3 linked regions of the Oryzias latipes genome follow. The protein of the gene in region 1 purifies or fractionates together with the protein of each later gene. This does not show direct contact. Links are inferred from orthologs where the notes say so. Each region holds a gene or a part of one and is shown in the gene's direction. Other genes may lie near its edges. The genes, in order: serine/threonine-protein phosphatase 2B catalytic subunit gamma isoform, rcan1 and calcipressin-3.

Region 1 (6,655 bases):
AGGTAATCTCACCTGTGAGTCATCTGTTCATTCTGTCATCTGTCACATATGGAGGCAGAAAAACGTGAGCCGCCCTTGATTGAAGTCATTCTCCACTTTTATATTTTTGGAGGATGACGTGAATTCACCTGGACAGGTGACATCAGAGGGCTTCCCTGAAGGCCCTGAGTCTTCCTGCTGCTCATCCTTACCTCCTTGACTTTTGACCTTCACAGTGTCACCTCGCTTGACCTCTTTGCATTTAGAGTTTCCCTTGAAACTTGGGCTGAATTTCCACTGCAGGTCTTGATGCCCAAATTTGATTTTTTCTGACTATATCCGATTTTTTTGATGACCCGTATCCGATATTTGCATTTACACTACACAATGCTGAGACTATCAAACGTAGACGTTCTGAGGACTACATAGCAGCATTTCCGCCTTCCACAGACCTGAGCACTGACCGCACGGATTTAAAACATTATGAGCGAGCAGGCCCTTAATAATAATCATAACAGTAAGAAAAGCACATTTAGAAGATGCGTGTTGGTCCAAACGGCAAACGTTTAGCATGGCGAAACCCTCCCCTTTTTGTTGTGTTTTTGTGTGACTGTGGTTGTCATGGAGGCAACGCAGCGACGGAAGGAGGCGTTGCCTGTGGCGCTCCAGGATGAGGCAGGAGAGGGGATGTGTGGGAGAGGAACAAGGAGGGATGCTGGGCCGGCTTATGGTCTCTCTCTGAGTTTGTACTAACAGTTTGATCCAAGCAAAGAAACAAACGGCTTCTAGCTGTTCCAGAGCAACGGTGTCCCGTTTGATTAGTTACCGTCTGCGTCCCGACCGGGACCCGACCGGAAATAACGAAGCCTGAGGCTGAAAGGTAACAGCTGATGGGGCTCCAGCTGTCCTCCAACAGCAACATCAGCACAAAAGCACCTTAATAAGTCATGTGATCTCAGTGGGTGGTGTCCTGCGTTGACGTCACTGACCTACGACTCGCATTCACTGGGGAATATCCGATTTGTCTGCTTACATGGCACACGCAGACGCACGTATCCGATTCATATCCGATTTATTTCCACATATGAATGAGGCCTGAATCCGATCTGAGAAAATCTGAATCCATGCGCTTTTGTCCTGCTTCCACGTTCACCGGTCATATCCCATCTGTGCCACATAAGAGGAAAAAATCGGAATTGGGTCACTTGAACCATGCAGTGGAAATGCGGCCTTAGTCTTCTTCCTGGAAGCTGCTGGACGTTTCCTCCAGGAAACAGACTCAGAGAGAATCCAGGTTGGTGAACCTCTCCTGACCTCTGTGTCTGACCTCTGACCTCTGTGTCTGACCTCTGGCTGACAAGCAGCAGTTGTTTAGATCTCAGTGTGAGGCCTTCATTCACGCTCCAGACAATAAAGAGGACCACAGAGAACTGGACCAGGCCTTCAGAACCCTGGACTTTGTTCTGATGATGTTATGTGACACACTGATCAGTCTGGATGACCTCGGAAGGGTCAAACATCTGAAAACTCAAATGTTGCGTTCGTGTAGCTCGAATAGCAACCACCAGAGGGAGCTGGACCCCACCGCGGGTCTTTATGGTCCAGTCCATCAGAACCAGAACCACGACTCCATTTAAAACGTCAAAGTAAAAATTAAAAATGAGTACAACAAACATTTATTCATCGTGACTTTTAATCCAACACACAGAAACAATGCAAACTGCTTGTGATTCTACATGTAAAATAGATTTTAAAATATGAATTTCCTTATTATTTGCATAACAAATATTCTGGTCTGAAATAGATTTGGAAATGCGTGTCTAAAAGGGGAACTGAACCACATCCTTCTTGAACTTGGTTAGAAAAACTTTTCATCTCGGGATTTTGATGAAAACCTTTCTGAAATCCTTTTCTTCTCTGATTCCGTTTCACATTTGCGTGACTCTGCGGGCTTTGGAGCGGAGAAACGGAAACCACATCCTGGACTGGAACCGGCTCTCTGATTGGTCAGGAGGCTGCGCATGCGCCTGTTGCGACGCTGTCTGAACTGGTGGTGTCGCGCAGAGTTCTGCTCCCCAAAATGAGCTGATGCCCCACGCAGAGGTCACGGTGGTCCTGAAGGCAACGATCATTTCTGCGAGTCCTCCTGGAAAAATCTCTGAAATGCCATGAATTTAATATCATATAATCTATACATGCATTTCTCCATCCTGCCTGTTCTCCATATGTGCAGAAAAATACGTTTTCTAAAGTTTCTGTGTAACAAAACTGAGAAAAAATACATCTTTTAAAGTGTTTTGTTGTATCTTAAAATCTCGCGCCGCTTGTGTTTTTTTTTGGACCCCGCAGCAGCTCACGAAAAGATGCGGAAGCGTCGAACCACAACACTACATTACCCACAACCACCTGCTCAGAATCATGTTGTAGGAAATCCGCTTGCGGCGGATTATTGTAATCCGACAGCGGGTCTGAACGGCACATCGGATCACCATTAGAGACAGACACGAATCCGAAAGGCAGCGGCCCGAAACAGATGCGCGGCGCCCGATACTAACGGGATCAAGGCGGGCTATGATCTGAGGCGCGGCGCGGCGCGCGTGCTGGAGCCTGACGTCGGCGCTCTCCGGGCCGCTTCCTTCTCCATCGATTCAGCCCGTTTAGAGTGACGGCGGCTCGGGATTCCCGCCCCGTGTAGCACGGCGCTGGGCACCGCTCGCTTCTGCCGGACGAGAACACCCCCGTACCGTCCCGGTCCGGGTTTTAGTCCGGGTCCGCCTGGAAGCCGAGCCCGGGCGTGTTCTGTGCTGCCGCGAGCCGCGCCGTGAGCTCGCGCGGCTAGCCCGCTCCAGCTAGCTGCTAGCTAGTTCGAAATTTAGAGTTTGGTTCGGAACCCAGTTCCAGTTCGGGCCGCTGCTCGCTTAGCAGGAAGATGTCGGCTAAAGACCAGAACAAGCTGTCCACCGTAGAAAGACCCATTAAAGGTGAGTTCCTGTCGGTTTTTGACATTTTTCTGCGGGAGCAGGAAGTCAGCGGGGGCTAACTGCGGGCTAAGTGCGGGACAGCGGACTCTCGAGTCCCGCAGACGGACGGTTCACTCTGTCGGTCCGGCAGGTTGGCTGACCGAACCGGTCCCCGTACAGCTGCCTTTTGGTCCGGGGGGGGGGGGGGGGGTCATGTCTGTCGCCGTCTGGAAGCTCCAGGACAGGCGGGCTCAGGGGGAGAGACGGTACCGGCTCTTATATACCGAATTTCTTAGGGAGCAGGTCGAGTCCCGGGCTCGTTCCTGAACAGACGGTTCCGGACGTGCGGGTCCAGAGCTCTGCCGCACGCGGGGTCAGGGCGTGGTGTTTGGGTGTTGACAGGTCGGGCGTCTGCGTTTGATGGGTTTAGCGGGTTAGAGAGGCTTATCTGCGGGAGAGCGCCGCGGCATTAAAGCTGCATCCCTCAGGAGGTCATGGACCGCCCGTGACCGGCTCACCTGTGCAGGACTGTGGCTGCTGCTCCACCTGTTTCCATGACAACCGCGCGGGGGGGGGGGGGGGGGTCAGCGAACCTGTACAGGTGAGGCGGGGCACACCTGCCCAGACCTGCAGGGTTTCTAGGAAACCTTTGGATGCACAAGCGGTTCTCCTGAGCCTCAGAACGTCCCACGTTCTGGTCGTATTTGGGTTCTAAATCTCCATCGAGGGGAGTTGTGGACTTCGGACTTCGCCGTGGTCTGTCATGGCGTTCTCTGGAGGTCTTGGTTCACGTTGGCGGCTGTCTGGTTTAGGAGCTGATGATGATGATGCTGAGTGACGGCGGGATCTCCCAGAATGCCTCTGGCCTCTGGCCGTGGCTGTGGATCAGTGACTGATCTGTTCTGGCAGCTTCAGGATGGTCATCAGTCATGAGTGACGGAGTTGAGCCTGAGGACGGGCGGGCCGGAGCGGGTCTGGGTCATCGGGCCAGCGATGAGAGAGATGCCGCTCCGCAGCGAGCCCAACATCAGGACCACACCCCACCACACCCCCCAGTGTGAAAGTCAGACAGCCTGTAGGGTGAAGCTGCTGGGGGGGGGGTATAAACCATGAATTATGAAACTTGTCATTAGTCTAAATAATGCAGCGAGTGTTTTAACGTTCTAAGAAAACTGCAAACCAGGAATGGATGAATGAATGGATGAATCGCCTTCATTGTCATTGTATCTGCTCAGGAGAAGGGGGGGGGGGGGATGTTGATGCTAAAACTGGATAAACTTTTGGCCCAAGTGGGACAGGGCAGAAACACAGAACCCAGAGCTGCATCTGCCGTTGACTGCAGGCTATCCATGCATGCTGGTGTCTGCGCACTCTGCATGTGTCTGCACGCCTCAGCACATCTGAACGTCCGTGGCAGCGTAAAGACCAAACACGACACTTCTCAGAAGACGAGTCAGAACAAAGTCCTGGAGACCAGAAACTATGATGCTTCTGAACACGAGGAGACGTTTGACTCGCACTTTAACGGGCACGGCGGCAAAAGCTCATGGTATGGGCTGCCAAAGTAGTAGAGGTGGTGGAGGTCCTTTGTAAGGAAACTGGACCCATGGGTCCAGAAGAAGACTGACATGCAGAAGAGCTGCAATGCTCTGGGGAAAGTCTAGCTCAGCAGGAACTGGATCTCCTTCAGAACCACTACCGGGTCAGACTGGACAGCAGCTGGATTTAGCTGTTCTTTTCAGAACCTGTGATGATCAGAAGAAGTTCTTCCTCCTGGTTCTGGATCGAGTCCGTCGGTGTGAAGTCACTTAGTGACTCTGTTGATCATCAATAAGAGCATATTTGATGCTCCGCCCACTTTATGTAGACACTTTTTCAGAACCAGCATGTTTTGAGAAATAGATTTGCGGGGGGGGGGGGGTTGTTATACTCTTGGGTCATCTGAAGGGTGAAGCTCTGAAGGGGGGGCGTTCGTGGCGTTAGGAGACTGCAGTGAACATCATCTTGATCCCTCTCCTCTGGACCTTCATTTTTCTACCACTCTCTGGGTAGGGGGGGTTCCATCTTGGTTCTGGTCTTGTTGCCCACCTGGTTTCAGTCTGAGTTCTTCCTCCTCCCTGTCAGAGGCTGGAGAACCCTCCTCCTCTGCTGCAGAGATGGTACGATCTGAATGTGACCTGGTTTGGTTTCAGCTAAAGTGGATCACTCGCTGCTCATGGGGGGGGGGGGGGGGGGGGTTCTGGTTCTGACCTGATTAAGTTTTGTGAAGGAACAGAGTCTGTTAGCGACACCCCCCTCCCCCCGAAACACCTGCAGAGATGTCAGGCTCCTCCCACAGGTGTCAGCGTCACGCAGGTTGAAGAAGCTCCTCAGGAAACAGCTGTTTGCTCCGTGTGTCACATGCACATGTGTGTCTCTGGACACACGTGCACGTACGCACATGCTCGTTCGCACATGCTCGTTCGCACATGCACGGACACGCACATGCACGGACGCACTTGCATGGACGCACATGCATGGACACGCACATGCACGTTCGCACATGCACGGACGCGCACATGCACGTTCGCACATGCACGGACGCGCACATGCACGGACCCACATGCACGGATGCACACATGCACAGACGCATGTACAAATAGGCTGTTTCTCTTAACCTTTACAGGGAAAGGTTAAGAGAAAATCTGTTTTTCAAAATAAAAGGATCTGACAGGAAGTCCAGTCTGACTGTCAGAAATGTCTGCAGACGTTTTTCAAACTGTCAAAGTAGTTAGTGTGTGAGGGGGGGTCCTGCCCCAGAGGGAGGGGGAGCGGCATGTTTGTTCATGCAGGTTGAAAGCCTGAGTCAGCGGGAGCTTTGGGTTCCTGTTGGGCCAGTTTGTGGAGGAGGAGGAGGAGCTGCTGGTATTTCCTCCAGGGCACAGCCCCCCCCATTACACAGAGAGGAAGAGTTGGTGTTAACCATTGTGACTCCACCCCCGTGGCGTTCCAAACAGGAAGTACCTGCAAAAACCCATAGACGTCCATAGAGAAATAAAATGGCGTGTGCCGCTGTCTGCCCCCCCTCGTTGCTGACCCCTGCTCAACGCTGTACAGGGACTCTGATCCTGCTGGGACTGAGGCTCCTCATAACCCCCCCACACGGGGGGGGGGGGGGGCATGCAGTTGACCAGTTTGGGCTTCAGTGTGTTGCCCAAGGACATGTGACTGTTGGAAATTGAACCACCAACCTTTCCGTTGTCAAAAAGCTGCTTGCTGGTTTGTGTCATGCTGCGTCCCCCCCCCCCCCCCCTCATCAGAGCTGCTGCTGTCTCCCTGTCTTTAGCGGTGCCGTACCCCCCCGGCACCCGCCTGTCCGTCAAAGACCTGTACGTGGACGGGAGGCCCAGCCTGGAGGTGCTGAAGGCCCACCTGGTGAAGGAGGGGCGCCTGGAGGAGGAGACGGCCCTGCGGATCATCAACGAGGGGGCGGCCATCCTGCGGCAGGAGAAGTGCATGCTGGAGGTGGAGGCTCCCATCACAGGTGACCCTCACACCCCACCCCACCCCCACCTGCACGGCCATGTTAGAACCCAAAGGTTTACATTTCACAAAGTTAAAATCTGATTAATATGAGTGTTATTATTCAACGTTGATTTATTAATAAATACATCTGAATGCATTTATTTGGTAAACAATTTTCCGACGCAATGCATTGTGGTCTATATTCGCCAATC
Region 2 (6,802 bases), on another chromosome or scaffold:
GTTCGAGCGCTCTGTTTGACACGTCTGGGTTTGTGGTGGAGCTGGACTGAGCCATGAGGGCAGAGGGAGGAAGCCAAATACCAGCAGGGAACCAGAGTCCAGGATGGCAGGTTTAGGGAATCAGGCCGGTGGTCCACACAAGGTTTAAGGAAGCATAGTGAAAAGAATCCAAGGTGTGAATAAATAGAAATCAAAGCAAAAAAAAGTTTAAAAATCTGGAGGGGAAATGCAGTTTTTCATGAGCAGAAAGTACTAAAGGAGAAAAAAAGTCAATGTTCCACTCTTTGGGATGTCTCAAATGCTACGAAAAGCAAACTACGATGTGAAAATCATTAAAAATAAGTCAAAAATAAGAATTGTCCGGTTATTTCCGTGAAGGCATCACGCCGACTTTCCTCCTCTCTGGCTCCTTCTCTCCCTCCTGAGGGGATTAGGTGACGGCTGATCCCCACATGACCAGAGGCTTAAACCCCTCTGCCGCCCTGGAATGAACACCGCCTTCACTCTCACTTCACTGAGGAAAACACCGGCAGGAGTTCAGGACCATCTGGCCCGGTTCCAACCACCAGGAAGGAGCAGCTCTACCGATGCGTCACGCCATGAGCCCCTTTTTCTGTTAAACCTTATCGAGATTTGATCACTCCTTTAATGAACAACATGAACCATTGACTATATGAGAACTGGACTGAGCGACCCCTCCCCCGTCACTTTCTAGTACCCATAAAAATCCTATAGACTTCAATAGAGATCTAGACACCTCATTCCTGGAGGGAAAAGGAATTTTTAACATAGTGAACGACACCCTCCCCCCCCAACAGATGATGACATCACAGCAGGATAAAAATCTTTTAAAAAAATGAATCGAGCCAAAAAATATTGTTAAATCCAGTAAAGATGGGAGGACGGCTGCAGGACCTACGGCTTGGTGGGCGAAATGTAGAATTTGGCCATTTTCACATTTTGCTAAAATATAGGCTGGTTTTTCGCAGAGACTTCTGGGAAATTTCAATTGTGAAATTGTAGATTCGGACAGCTCTACAAAATGGCGAACGCAGCATATGGTCCACTAAGTAGTGAGTAGTGGAGGAATTCCCCATCTGCAATGATAATCATTTACCTTTGACCATGGTAAGAGCCAGCCATCTTGAATTTTCCCCTAAAAAAATGTACATGTAGTACAGTCGCCTTTTAACTTGCCAGGAAAAAATGCTGGTTTTCGAAGTTTCTATAGTGGTTTCTGAATTGACACCAGCAGTCTTTTGTTAATGTTATTCTTCCTTTGTAACCTCAGGAAATGCAGTCTCTGCTGGGCCTTTTTCAGCAGCTCACTGGTGTTTGTACTGCAGGTCAGGCTCTCCTCAACACAGTCCTCGCTGATGAAGAGTTGCAGTATGTCCGTTTTCTTCCTCCTGTGGTCTATTATCATTTCTTTGGTCTTTGACGTGTTCAGGAGGAGGTTGTTGGTTGACGTTCCACCTCATCTCTGGAGGCAGATTCATTCCCGATAAAAAACCTCAGTTGCCAAGGAAATCCCAAAGTTTATTTTTGCTGATTCTTCTGAAAAATTACATAGACACGCTTGTTACCTCTGGGCCAATAAAAAAATCAAATGGTTGCTATGGAGATGAAACAAATGAAAATTCCACTACTATGAGAAAAAAGTAGATTAGTAAAAGTAAATCATGAGGTGTTTGGTTGATGGACTTAAACATTTGGAAAGTGACCAATCAGTGTCTTGTTGTGACAAAAAAAGCCACTTTTTCTATTGATATTTGTATTTTTTCCCTTTTTTCTCCACTGAAGCTTAGTGTTTTGATTACATAGTTCAGGTTTTTGGCTTTACAGTGGTTATGTGAGGTTTAGCAGCTACCTAAGATTCTTTCCATGATGCCCTTGTGCTTTAACACCTTAAAAAGTGTCATAGAGAAAATGCTAACCTGGTTATAGACCTTTGAGTAAAAAATATGTTTGGAATTAAATGTTTACAAGTTGTTGCGTAGATTTGTGAACAGATGAGATCTGCCTTAAGAATACACACCTTTTTACATAGATTTCCCTTTAAACATACTTTTATATGTAAATCAGAAAAAATCGTTTTTAATCTTAAAAAACAACAACATTTCTTTGCTAAAACACAGCACTGCAGTTCATACTCCAGATCGACAGGTGGCGATATAGCCCCGCCCCGTTTGCCAATTGAAAGTCAAGAAGGAGCAGAACCGGAAGTTTATAACCGGAGTCCTCCATGGTGGATGAAAACAGGTTAACGCCGGTTTAAATTAATCCGTCACAGACCAGCTAGCTTGCAGCAAATCCAGCTGACCTCCAGGCAGCTGCACGCGCTCCAACACAGACGGAAGAGGAGGGGCTGGTTCGGCCCCGCCGTCTGTTCTCGCGCAGGTTCGTTTAGACTGACTCGGTTCGGATTCTTCCGCGCCTCCTCGCGGGTGAGTTCTGCACCCACGCGAAGCAGGTTCGTCGGTGCGCGCGCCGTGACTCTCGGGGTCTTCCGTGTTCTCAGGTCCAGAGCGCCGGAATGCAGCAGGCGAAGGTGGCAGACGACAAGAAGGAGGAGGCCGCGGTGGAAGTCCGCTTCACCGACCTGCCGGACGCCCTGATCGCCTGTAAAGTCCCGCCGGACCTGTTCGCCTACGGAGGGGTGAAGGTAAGCGCCGCGAGGCGGGGTTTTTAGCCGGTTCTGACCGCGCTGGCGCCGGCCTGACCCGGGAGAAACAAAGCCGGGAGGTTCAGTTCAGCGGGTTCCCCGCTAGATAGAGCCATTCCGCCGAGATGCATTCATCCTTACGAGACATGCAAATATAGCCCACAATGCATTGCGTTTGAACACAAATGTATTTTTTTTAATTTAACCATGAATGTTTTTATCATCAGAACACAGTGGGTTTATAAATTGTTGCAGTAAAATGCCCATATTGATGAGGGCTGTGTCTGAATTCCCTCCTCCCTCACTAGTAAAACCCTCTACAGTGCAGGACTATGTGTGCTCTAGATTTTAAAACAATTCGGATGGACTACCGATGATATCTTTATAGTTTTTAATGGCAAATATGACAGCACTGTTTTCACAAAGTTAAACCTCTCAACCTTTATAATGTGTTTGGGTCCAAATTGACCTGTTTTCAAACTGTGTAAAGGGGTCAATTTTGACCCAAACACAATAAATAAAAGCAATAACGAAGACTGTTTATTGTGTTCTGATGATTAAAAAAAATAAATTAAAGTATTTTTCTTTACTTGGAAAAAAGGTATTTCATATTTGCCCATCTAGTGGGAATCAAAGCTTTTAGCTATGTTCACTTCAGGCCTGGTAACACATGTTCAAGTGACTTTCAATGAAATCTCGATGTAAATTTGTGTTTCCAGCTTCCGTGTTCGATACACCTGCGTTCACGCGTTGCTACACAAAGTTCTGTCGGTTTGTGGACTCTACCCACAAAACGTGCCCTCTTTATTTTTTGTTTGATTTCCCGCTGTAAATTCTTGCAGTGGTGTGAAAAACCAAACCGAGCAGATTATTTCTGACTGTTCACACTGCATACGTTGTCTTTTCCTGTGTTTACGTGATCAGACTGACGTTCTGACTCCGCCTTTCTGAAACAGTAGGAAAGGGAAGGTAGACGTGCAGATCTTTGGTTTTTCCGTCCGTCCCGCCTGCTTTGATCCATGATGCTTACCAACAGAAAAACGTATTCAGGTGTTGCTTACCAACAGAAAAACGTATTCAGGTGTTACGCACTGCCGTCCACCTACCTCTGCTTTTCAGTGTTTGTTTTTGCCGAATGTCGTTCATTTCCGTTTTTCAGAACGTGATGGAAAAGTCGTATTTCCAAAATAAATGTAGTTTTAAAGCAAAAAAAAAAAAAAACGTGATTTAGCTATAAATGTCTTGTTTTGCTCAAACATCATATTTATTTGATTTTAGCTTTTTGTAACGTTCGTCTTTAGCCGCTCCTCTTCATTCATGAAGCTCCTTTTTGGTCTGTAATAATTACATTGAGTAAACAAAACATTGGAAAAAGGAGCTGAAGCATCATACAGACTGTTATGGAACACTTTAGTTGTGCTGCAAAGCTTTCCATCACTGTTCCTTCATTTTTATCTTATTTTCAAAATAAAGGTGCATCTTTTATTAGATCTGGAGGCTGACGTTTGGTTTAGCCATAACAGTACAGCTTGTTTTTGTAACTTTATTTATGGCATCACATTAAAAATTGGAAAATCAAATAAAAAGAAATGGGAGCTTTACCGGTTTTTGATGACTGGTGCAGGCCTGAACTCACTGATGGGGGTGTTTTTATTTGGTTGAATGGAAAAAGCGGAGTGACTCGAGGACACCGCGTGGTTTAGGTGTTGACTGGCGGGTGAAGCGGATCGTGCCTGCAGGGCTGTAGACCAGCATTAAGAAAATCCACGGCACAACTTTGTTTTTTTGTCTTTTTATTTGTTGTTCGTCTTTAAAGCTGCTCCTTTTCCACGAGGGGTTGGTATCAGCAGGACCATGGGATTCTGCTGTGAGAGGATCGCTTTAGCATTGAGTAGACTTACTTGGCCATGGATCCTGCCTCTGCCTTGTCTTGCACCCCCAGCCATCCCCCAACTCCATCTGGATGAAGCTCATCTGCTGGACTATTAAAACATGTAGTGTTAGCGTTAGATAAACTCATTCTTCTCTGAGAGTTCTGGTACATCGCCTGTCCTTTATTTTACAAATCCCTTTTTTTTTCCCAGGAGTTTTTTCTTACCGGAAGGATGGTCTAAGCAACTGTTTTTCAACCTTTTCTGAGCCACGGCACACTTTAACCTTGACAAAAGTCCTGCGGCACACCAGCATCCAAAAAGTTTTTTTTTTAAATTGGAGAAACTCAAAGTCTTTATTGATCTACAGCCCCTCCACAATCTCACATGCATTTTTGTGATAATTATTGTGGCAGAAAAAGCTGGAAGCTGCAGCTGTTTTTCTAAAAGATGTAATAAAAGTTAAGTTAGAAGATTTAAAAACTGTTGGATGTGCGTTCGTTGTGGTGTCAAGACGTTTAACAACAAAGGTTCATTGTGCGCTGAGATGCTGTCACTTTAACCCAATGCATCATGGGAGATGTAGTGCAAACAGCTGCAAAAGGGCAGAAAGGCTAATGTCTCTGAGCTTCTTTGTTTTGTTCACTTTTTACACAGTCAGATACCGGATTCTGTGGAAAGCTACACCGCTAAAGACGAGCGTTAGCTGGTATTTTTGTTAGAACTGAGCGACTTTACGAGCCAAATTGGATCAAGGAAGCGAGGACTTTAATCACTTCTGATTGGTCAGACTGATGACGTGTGATTCAGCCTTCAAGAATGATTGGTGGAGACAGTTAAAGGGGCGGGACTTTTCCTAAAACAGCTGAAGCTACAGCTAAATCGCAGTACCGTGATTCTTATCTTTCTTTAATAGAATCAAATAAACACAAAGAAAAAAGTATTTTAAGACCTTTCATATTCCTAACTACTCAGTGTTTTATCAGGGCCTGTTTGGATGAACACAGAGCTGATTTCCTGGAGATGGAAAATGTTTTTAGATCAGTTAATGAGGGCAATTTCCCACAGCACAATAATGTGTAGCAGCACACTGGTTGACAGGGGCAGTAGCGAATATACTTAAAATCCCTCATAATTCTGCTTTTTAGAGCAATGATTGCATTGCCTGACTGGTATTGTCCACCATACTCTACTATATTTATAAAGATTGTGGATCAGGAATCTTGATTGTCACAAAAAAATCGTCCGCGTTTTTTCTGAAACAAATTGCGACAATCCCAGAATTTAGAGATTCATTGCAGCCCCATTGACTGGCTTCTATTAATCATCTCGTGTTACCTGAGAGTCACCTAAATGCTGACAGATACCCTCCAGAATCGCTTCAAAGCTCGTTTCTGCCCTTCAAGCCAGATCTCAGGCAAAGCGTTAGCATTATGGGTTAATGCTAACTCTTTGGAAGAGACGGACATTTACTGGAGTTTGTGGTCAGTTACCACCCAGCGACAGTAGATCCCTTCAAACTCTGAAGCAAGTGAATGAAGACCTCCTACAGTGGATCCAAGTCTGGTTCCATGTCTCTCAGTCACCTGAGCTGGATTGAGTTTAGAACCTCCATCAGTAGATGGATCTAAAGTTTTAACCACTTCAGGCTTTAGTGAAAGCACTTCAGAAACGTCAACAGGAAGCTCTTTAATCTAGAGAAAGCCCCACTGCCCTCTGGGATCAGTCGCCACTCAAATCAAGCCGAAACAGAACCACCATTCATTCTTTTAACTAGTGAAAATGTTTGGCCGAAGCCAAATAATAATTAAAACACTTGGCCGAAAAGTGACGAATATCAAATGAGGATGTTGTTTTTCTTTATTTTTGAAATATTGCAGTAATAGCCTAGAATCAATTTTACACAACTTTCATACAAGGCTGTGCCTTCGCACAAAACATCGATCTCTTGTGAATCTTATCGATTTTTTTCAAACACGTCAGACACAGAAAGAGTGCTGCTAACACCGCTAGCCTTCCTTGTAGCCCCCACAGCCGTCTCTTTTTCGTATTCCTCATGCTGTTCTAGGCCTTTAGCTTTTTAATGCCCGATTAACGCACGTGGTTCAGGTTTTGGCCGACGAACCCCCTTGCGACAATGTAGTTCCGCTGTCGCTTCAAACTGTAGATCTGTTATCGCTTTCATTTCCTTTAAGATCTATTTAAAATGGGCTCTAGATTGCACATTGATTGCGTCACGTTCCACTATTTGGCCAATATTGGGTTC
Region 3 (6,509 bases), on another chromosome or scaffold:
GTTTTCTCCGCTGTGGTTATGGAAGTATTGAAGCGCAACAGGTGCATCCGGGTTCGTGACACATTTGTTCAAATTAGATTAATAATTGTTGCGCAGTGAACGGAAACACCGGCGGGACTCGCACGTTAACTTTCGTGACTCACTAAGACGTTCCTGCCAAATAATAAGCCTCTTTGCCTCTCAGCGCTGTGTGCCACTTTGCTGCTTGATCGCCACCCATGTTGAGGCCCAGCATCCGCCCACTTGCTGCAATCTGATTGGTCGCTTCGAAGCTACTGGCGGCTTCTGATTGGTCTCACCTGCGTTGTCCTGACGCTGGAGCAGGCTGCGTTAGATAATCCGGAGAAAACAAACACCCAAGCATTTGTCCGCAAAAAATAAAATAAAAATAAATATGTAAAGACAAAAAGGTTTTTTTTCTCTCTCCAAAAAAATAATAATATATGTATATATGTATAAATATTTATATTTTTGTTAGTCCTCAATGGGGGTTTTTTCGGACGCTGACATAGTGAGGTGAGTGTTGGAGACACATTTGCATGTCATAAGGGAAATTATTACACAGTGGCATCGGATGTAACTGTGATTTACACTATGATTTTCACACTCTACTCCTGCATTTATATTTTCTGTAGCAATGAAACCCTTTTCTGACGTGGAGGAAAATGTTTTATTAGACATTTGCTCCAGTTCTGGCCGCGATATTGGAAAGGCAATACGTAATAGGTTACTTACGGCAGCTAAATGAAGATACCTGTCATCCGTCAAGATTTTTTCTTGTCATTTCACAGCGGATATTTAGTTGTTTTGTCCCTTTTTATTGCTCATTCTTTCTTTTATGTGCTCTTAATACTATAGTGAATCAAACATAGACTTATTTGTTACTTTAATTCGCTTGATTTTTCAAACACAATGGGGCACTTCGTCGCTCCTAACGCTAGATGGCCCTCTAACATTTGTATAAAATTGCTAAGGATGCCAAAGTGCCTTTAATCTCAAAGTATGTGGGTCAAATTTTATATTTACATTGTTTTGCTAAAGCAGTAACAATAATTTGAATTATTGTTATGTGAGTATGTCAAATTGAATGCATATATGTTTATGATTTATTTAGATTTGATTATTTATTTATTTTGTTAGAAACTTAGAAAATTTGCAATATAGAATTTGAACTTCTTTTTAACCTCTGGTGATCGTAAAACAAAAAAGAAAGAAGTACAAAGTCTGTAAAATAATTGCTAAAAGTTCCATTCATATCTTTAAAAACATGCTAAATATGTATTAACATAAAATATGAAATCCCTTTATTGTCACTGTCCACATGTGCAATGCGATTAAAAGCAGACACCATATTAGTACAAAAACATATCAATATTACAATATAATACTATAAAAAATATCTATTATGTGCAAAAATAATGTGTGCAAAATATAAACAAATGCGCTCTGTGCATCAAGTCATTAAGTAAGTAAATTGTATATTGCAGATAAAAAGATAAAAGCCTTTTGACAGATGGTAAATAAGAAAAGTATGTGTTTGTGTGTGTGTGTGCATATATTTATACATACACACACATACAGTAGCCTTGACCCAGAATTGTATCAGGACATCCGGGAGTTTAAAATAGTTGATGTCTTTACTTAAATATTCACATTTTTGTAGCTTAAATATGAAACCATAAAGTCCTATTTCCCTAAATGAGGAAAATAACAGCTTTTGTAAAGGAACATTTTGTAAAAAGCAAGAAAAATGAGATTGCGCAAAAAAGGAGTAAAAGTACCTGTATTCTTTGTTTTGAAGGTTTTCTAGATTCTTCTTCTCCGTGATTTGATGCATTTACTTGCATTAAGAAACTTTTATTTGCATGATTGTGTTGATCAGTACATCTTCCTCACTTTCCACTTCAATTCTAATCTCTTGATGCTTCCATCTTTAGTTCTCTGTGGTCCCCACCTGTTTAAAAGATCAAGGATGCTGCGTGACACTTCTAAAGGGTGGAGCAGTGGCTCAGGAGCCTACAGTAGTGATCCTGAAGAGGATGAGGATGAGGAAGAAGACATGGTGTTTGGGGAGAGCGATCAGGATGGCACGGCAGAGGAGATGATGGACCTGAGTGACCTTCCCTCTGCACTCTTTGCATGCAGTGTCCACGAGGCCGTATTCAGCCAGGAAACGCACAGGGTGAGATGCTGCAAACTCCCTTCCTTGTCCATATGTTTGCGGCATGTGTGTTTGCCTGAGTCAACGCATCACTTCTGAGTCATCTTGGTGCATGTGCCAGACCATCCAAGAATCAGATCATAGCAACAGGAGGCGAGATATCATCCGCAGCTCCAGCTCCTGCGCGTGGACGTTCAGCCACAGTTCAAGCTGCGATGCTGATCGCTCCGCAGCTAAAACCCTCACGCATTCGCACCCGACGCAGCTGTTGTCTGTTTACCAGAGAACATGAATGCAGGTCAGCAGATTACAGCATGACTTGCACAGAATCACAAGCTTCGGATCGTGTGTCTATGCATATCATCCAGTCAGTATATTGCTTATCGCGTTTGCCAAGCCTCTTGGAACAGTGCATATATGTTGCAGACGGGGGGAGAGAGTAACAGATTGGAGCCCATGAGTGCACATTCTGCACTAAAACCCCTAAAGGGTGTGTTGAGAATTCATCACAGCTGGTTATGTACAAATGCTTTGGATCATTGAATATTGTTTGCTGGAGGAAGATGAAAAATAGTTATCATTTTTCCTTTTAATCTACTTATAGTCTCCTGTGGTCTTTCCAGCTGGCATCTTTACATCCCCTTCTTTTTCTCTGAGACTTTGCCTCTTTTTACAGACTTCCTTTTTCAGTCTCCTCACCCTCTGTTTTGCTTCTCGATTGATCTTTTCTATGTATGGAAGTGCTGAACTGCAGAGGCTAAATATGGAGCATGAACAAAATCCCCTTGAAATGAATCAGCCCCACTTTTGGATGTTGTACACCCGTTGCTGTGAGCGGATGAGTCCACCCCCTCCCCTCCACTCGGTTTTTGCCTCCTAACTTCATTACCATTCACGCTTCGGCTTTTAAGTGGAAATGGCTCCCACACAATCTTAAGTTTGAACACGTCAATGAATCATTCCCAGTGTTTCTCTGAAACAAGCTGTGCCAAAAATAGGAATGTCGACATTTAATGCTTTGATCCAAATGTGATTGCAGGAGGAAAGTATAAAGTCTGAGATTAAAAGCAAAGTGCTTCAGATTTTTTTCTTTTTATGTTTACTTTCTCGTCCATCGAGAATCTGACACATTTGCCCCCCCCCAACATTATTTTTTTTATTTTTTTTCCGAATCCTTACCGAAGAACAGGGACATCGCATCCTACTTTTTAGTGTCTTTGGGCTCTTGGCATGCTCGAAACACTGACATTACTTTCTGTGTCTGGTTTCAAAGGCTTGGCTGCTGGAGGATGAGCTTTTTTCTGCTTTCATTCTTCTCCACTGAGAGGCGAATGGACAAATGTGCAGAGAGAGAGGGAGGGAGACCAGAGCCCTTACGTGTATGAGAAGCTTTTAGCACACTGCAAAATCCTTTAGCTTCTTCTTGCATAAGTGAAGCATCAGTGAAACCTAGTGGCACACTTTTATCTGCAACATTCTTTTCACTTTGCTTGCCTCAAGCGAAAATGGAGACATGGTTTAAAGTTTTCATTACTTCTTCTGGAAGCTTAGCTTTAGCCTGATAACAGAAATTAACATAATCATTATTAGTTACTTAATGATACAATCTACTAATAAATTACAGCTCATTTAGCCGGCTGAATAGGAGCAACATTATTCCAGTCCAGTGCTTCAAGTCCCACTCCGATCATCTATTGATTAATTTTAAGTGTGTTCCAGTTGATCTTTTTTTATTATGGTTATGCTATTTTTAGCCAAAATAAAAAAAAACTGTCTTTGTAGGACTCAATTACAGCAGACTTCCTACTAGCTTACACCCCCATTCTAACATTGGTGGTGCAACAAAATTGGCAAGCAATATACAGTTTTGAGCCAAATGCCAGTTCGGATGAGGAAAGCAAAGATGTGTATGGATCTAGTCGTGTACAAGTGGATGTATGAGAATGAATACATCCATTCTGACTATCCAGGGTGTACCCCGCCTTTTCACCAACAGGCTCAGGCTACCCCATGACTCCACAAGGGATATAGAGGATTTAGAAAATGGATGGATTTGTAAGTTTATTTTCATTTTTGGAAAAACAAAAACAGATTTTCGGGATAATTTTGGATGTTTGGTTAATAATGTTTTCACTTTTTATTATTATGTCCCTGTCCTTAGTAGTCGTGCAGTCAGCTCCTCACATACGAATCATTGTGGGATTCTGTATCATCCATACAAAACATGTTTCCAAAGAGGGGAGGGGTTGGGAGTCAAAGTGGTTTCTCTGCTTGCAGAGACAAAGGTCAGAGAAGCCATTATAATTTGTTCCACATAGTGTGTATGAAGCCTAATCAGCTCTGAGTAACGCTTTCATTGGGGGTCCTGCTGCTGTCTGACTGAGTTTTTCTTAACCAACCATCAATACAATAAAGCAGCTGCAAGCGTAGCAACATCGCATTTTATTTTTTTGTTGTGGGGAAAAAAAAAGTTTTGTCCAGCTCCTTATCTCTAATGGTAAAGATTGAAAGTTGGTAATACTGACTCATTTTAATTTATCAGTCTTTTATTTTTAAACTTTTGATTGCATGTAGACTTTACGTTTTTATAGGAATTCACTGTCGCAGTTCCTCATCTAATCTGCGTCATTTCCAGCTGCTCAAAGCAGCTGTTTTCAACAGTCAGGCTCAGGTGGTCTGACGCTGCACAACCTGCTCAGTATCAAACGAAGGGCAAACAAAGTTAGTGTTTAGCCAGTGAGCATAGTGGAACAAATAACAGCTCAGGATTATTCAACTCTGACCTTTTAGTGTTCCATGAATTAAAAAGCACCTTCTTTTAGGTACAAATAACACTGAAAAAAAAGGGATTTACAAAACTCCAAATAGATAGATAGATAGATAGATAGATAGATAGATAGATAGATAGATAGATAGATAGATAGATAGATAGATAGATAGATAGATAGATAGATAGATAGATAGATAGATAGATAGATAGATAGATAGATAGATAGATAGATAGAATTTATTTTAGACTCATAGTCCAATCAATAAAAAGGAGTACACAGACCCACTACATTAAAAAAGCACAGTGTCAAGTATACACAAGTTAAGAAGCAGTATATGAAAAATTGCAATAGTTAATAAAAAATACATTAATTAAAATAAATAAGAATAAGATGAAAAATAAAAACATTACTTATACATACCACACCATAAACATAATTTACAAGGACAAATAAAAAGACAGTCCCCACAGTGTTTCCACAAATTTGGCTGGAAGCGTTTGGCAATAAATGTAATGTTACTTGTATATATATATATTTTTTAAAATCACAAAATTTAGTCCATTGTGAAAACAAAAAACAGGAAAATGCATCCATCTGAGAGCCAAAACAATGGGGAAAAATGCTATAGGACTTAAATGAATTTTAAACAATTGGAAGTAACTTATGAGGTAGTAAAGACCCACTCTGATCATCTTTTAAACTCTTTTTAAAGCATTCCCAGTAGTCTTTTAATTAAAGCTGTGCCATTTTTGGCCGAAATCCAAAAACCTGTATCGTTTTCTGGGACATAGTTTCTGTGGAGCGGCAGGAGTTCATTAGGAATGTTTTTTGGATGGGACCATTGTGGCAGAGCAACCACACCCCTCTTCCTCTCCCCGTGCTAAAAGTACAGAGCAGGGAGCTTGTGGCCTCACCAGAAAAATTTCACACAAAAAAAAGTTGTTGTTTTTTTCCATCTGCTCCTGATTCACAACGATTTTAATAAAAAATTGAACAGAAATGCAATTTTAAGCTTAATTTACTTTATATTTATCCACCTTTATGAGAAAATCCACAAGAACACATTAAAAAACACAATTTTCATCAGAGTGGGTCTTCTAAGAGGGATTAAATGTTTTTATGGTTATTTAAAAAAAAAAAAAGTTCAGCCGCACTCACATCACCTGATTTTATTATAACTCCAATTTAAGAGGTCGTTGGCTTTATAATTGACCTAAAAATGTACATGAACATTGTGAAACATTTAAGAAATGTTTTTTTTTTTTACATTTTTCATGTCTGTATCAAAAGTGAGTCCGCCATGAAATCTCAAAAACATTATTATTATTATTTTTTTTAATAAGGCTCCTCCATGCCGCCTGTCTTTGCGTCCATCATCAGAAGATCACGGATGACGTGCTGTCAGTAACGGCTCTGCAAGTCTCTCTTGAGGGTAATGTGCTTGATAGTGTGGCTTATGTGCATTGGACAATGATGTAAGACAACTCCTGTTCAGAGAGCTGTTGAAACACCAGGGACTAAAGATAGCAGCATCAAAGATGTGGAAAATCTGAAGCGTATTTTATACCCACGTGCTC

Evidence for each region.
Region 2: the proteins of serine/threonine-protein phosphatase 2B catalytic subunit gamma isoform (region 1) and rcan1 purify together in Homo sapiens (affinity purification with mass spectrometry; 3 studies listed by BioGRID and IntAct, counting the BioPlex papers as one, with this or other methods). This does not show direct contact. The link is inferred for Oryzias latipes from reciprocal best matches to the Homo sapiens genes PPP3CC and RCAN1.
Region 3: the proteins of serine/threonine-protein phosphatase 2B catalytic subunit gamma isoform (region 1) and calcipressin-3 purify together in Homo sapiens (affinity purification with mass spectrometry; 3 studies listed by BioGRID and IntAct, counting the BioPlex papers as one, with this or other methods). This does not show direct contact. The link is inferred for Oryzias latipes from reciprocal best matches to the Homo sapiens genes PPP3CC and RCAN3.

The regions. Positions count from the first base shown.
Region 1 is NC_019870.2:652,235-658,889, forward strand, and holds the start of serine/threonine-protein phosphatase 2B catalytic subunit gamma isoform, read left to right. Parts: upstream 1-2,379; 5' UTR 2,380-2,908; coding exon 2,909-2,960; intron 2,961-6,264; coding exon 6,265-6,462; intron 6,463-6,655. UniProt on the Homo sapiens protein: Calcium-dependent, calmodulin-stimulated protein phosphatase which plays an essential role in the transduction of intracellular Ca(2+)-mediated signals. Dephosphorylates and activates transcription factor NFATC1.
Region 2 is NC_019860.2:1,241,617-1,248,418, reverse strand, and holds the start of rcan1 (calcipressin-1), read left to right. Parts: upstream 1-2,217; 5' UTR 2,218-2,400; exon of another isoform or gene 2,401-2,447; intron 2,448-2,521; 5' UTR 2,522-2,536; coding exon 2,537-2,665; intron 2,666-6,802. Other genes in the region: trichohyalin, read right to left, coding at 1-55. UniProt on the Homo sapiens protein: Inhibits calcineurin-dependent transcriptional responses by binding to the catalytic domain of calcineurin A. Could play a role during central nervous system development.
Region 3 is NC_019880.2:9,451,096-9,457,604, forward strand, and holds the start of calcipressin-3, read left to right. Parts: upstream 1-1,944; 5' UTR 1,945-1,972; coding exon 1,973-2,182; intron 2,183-6,509.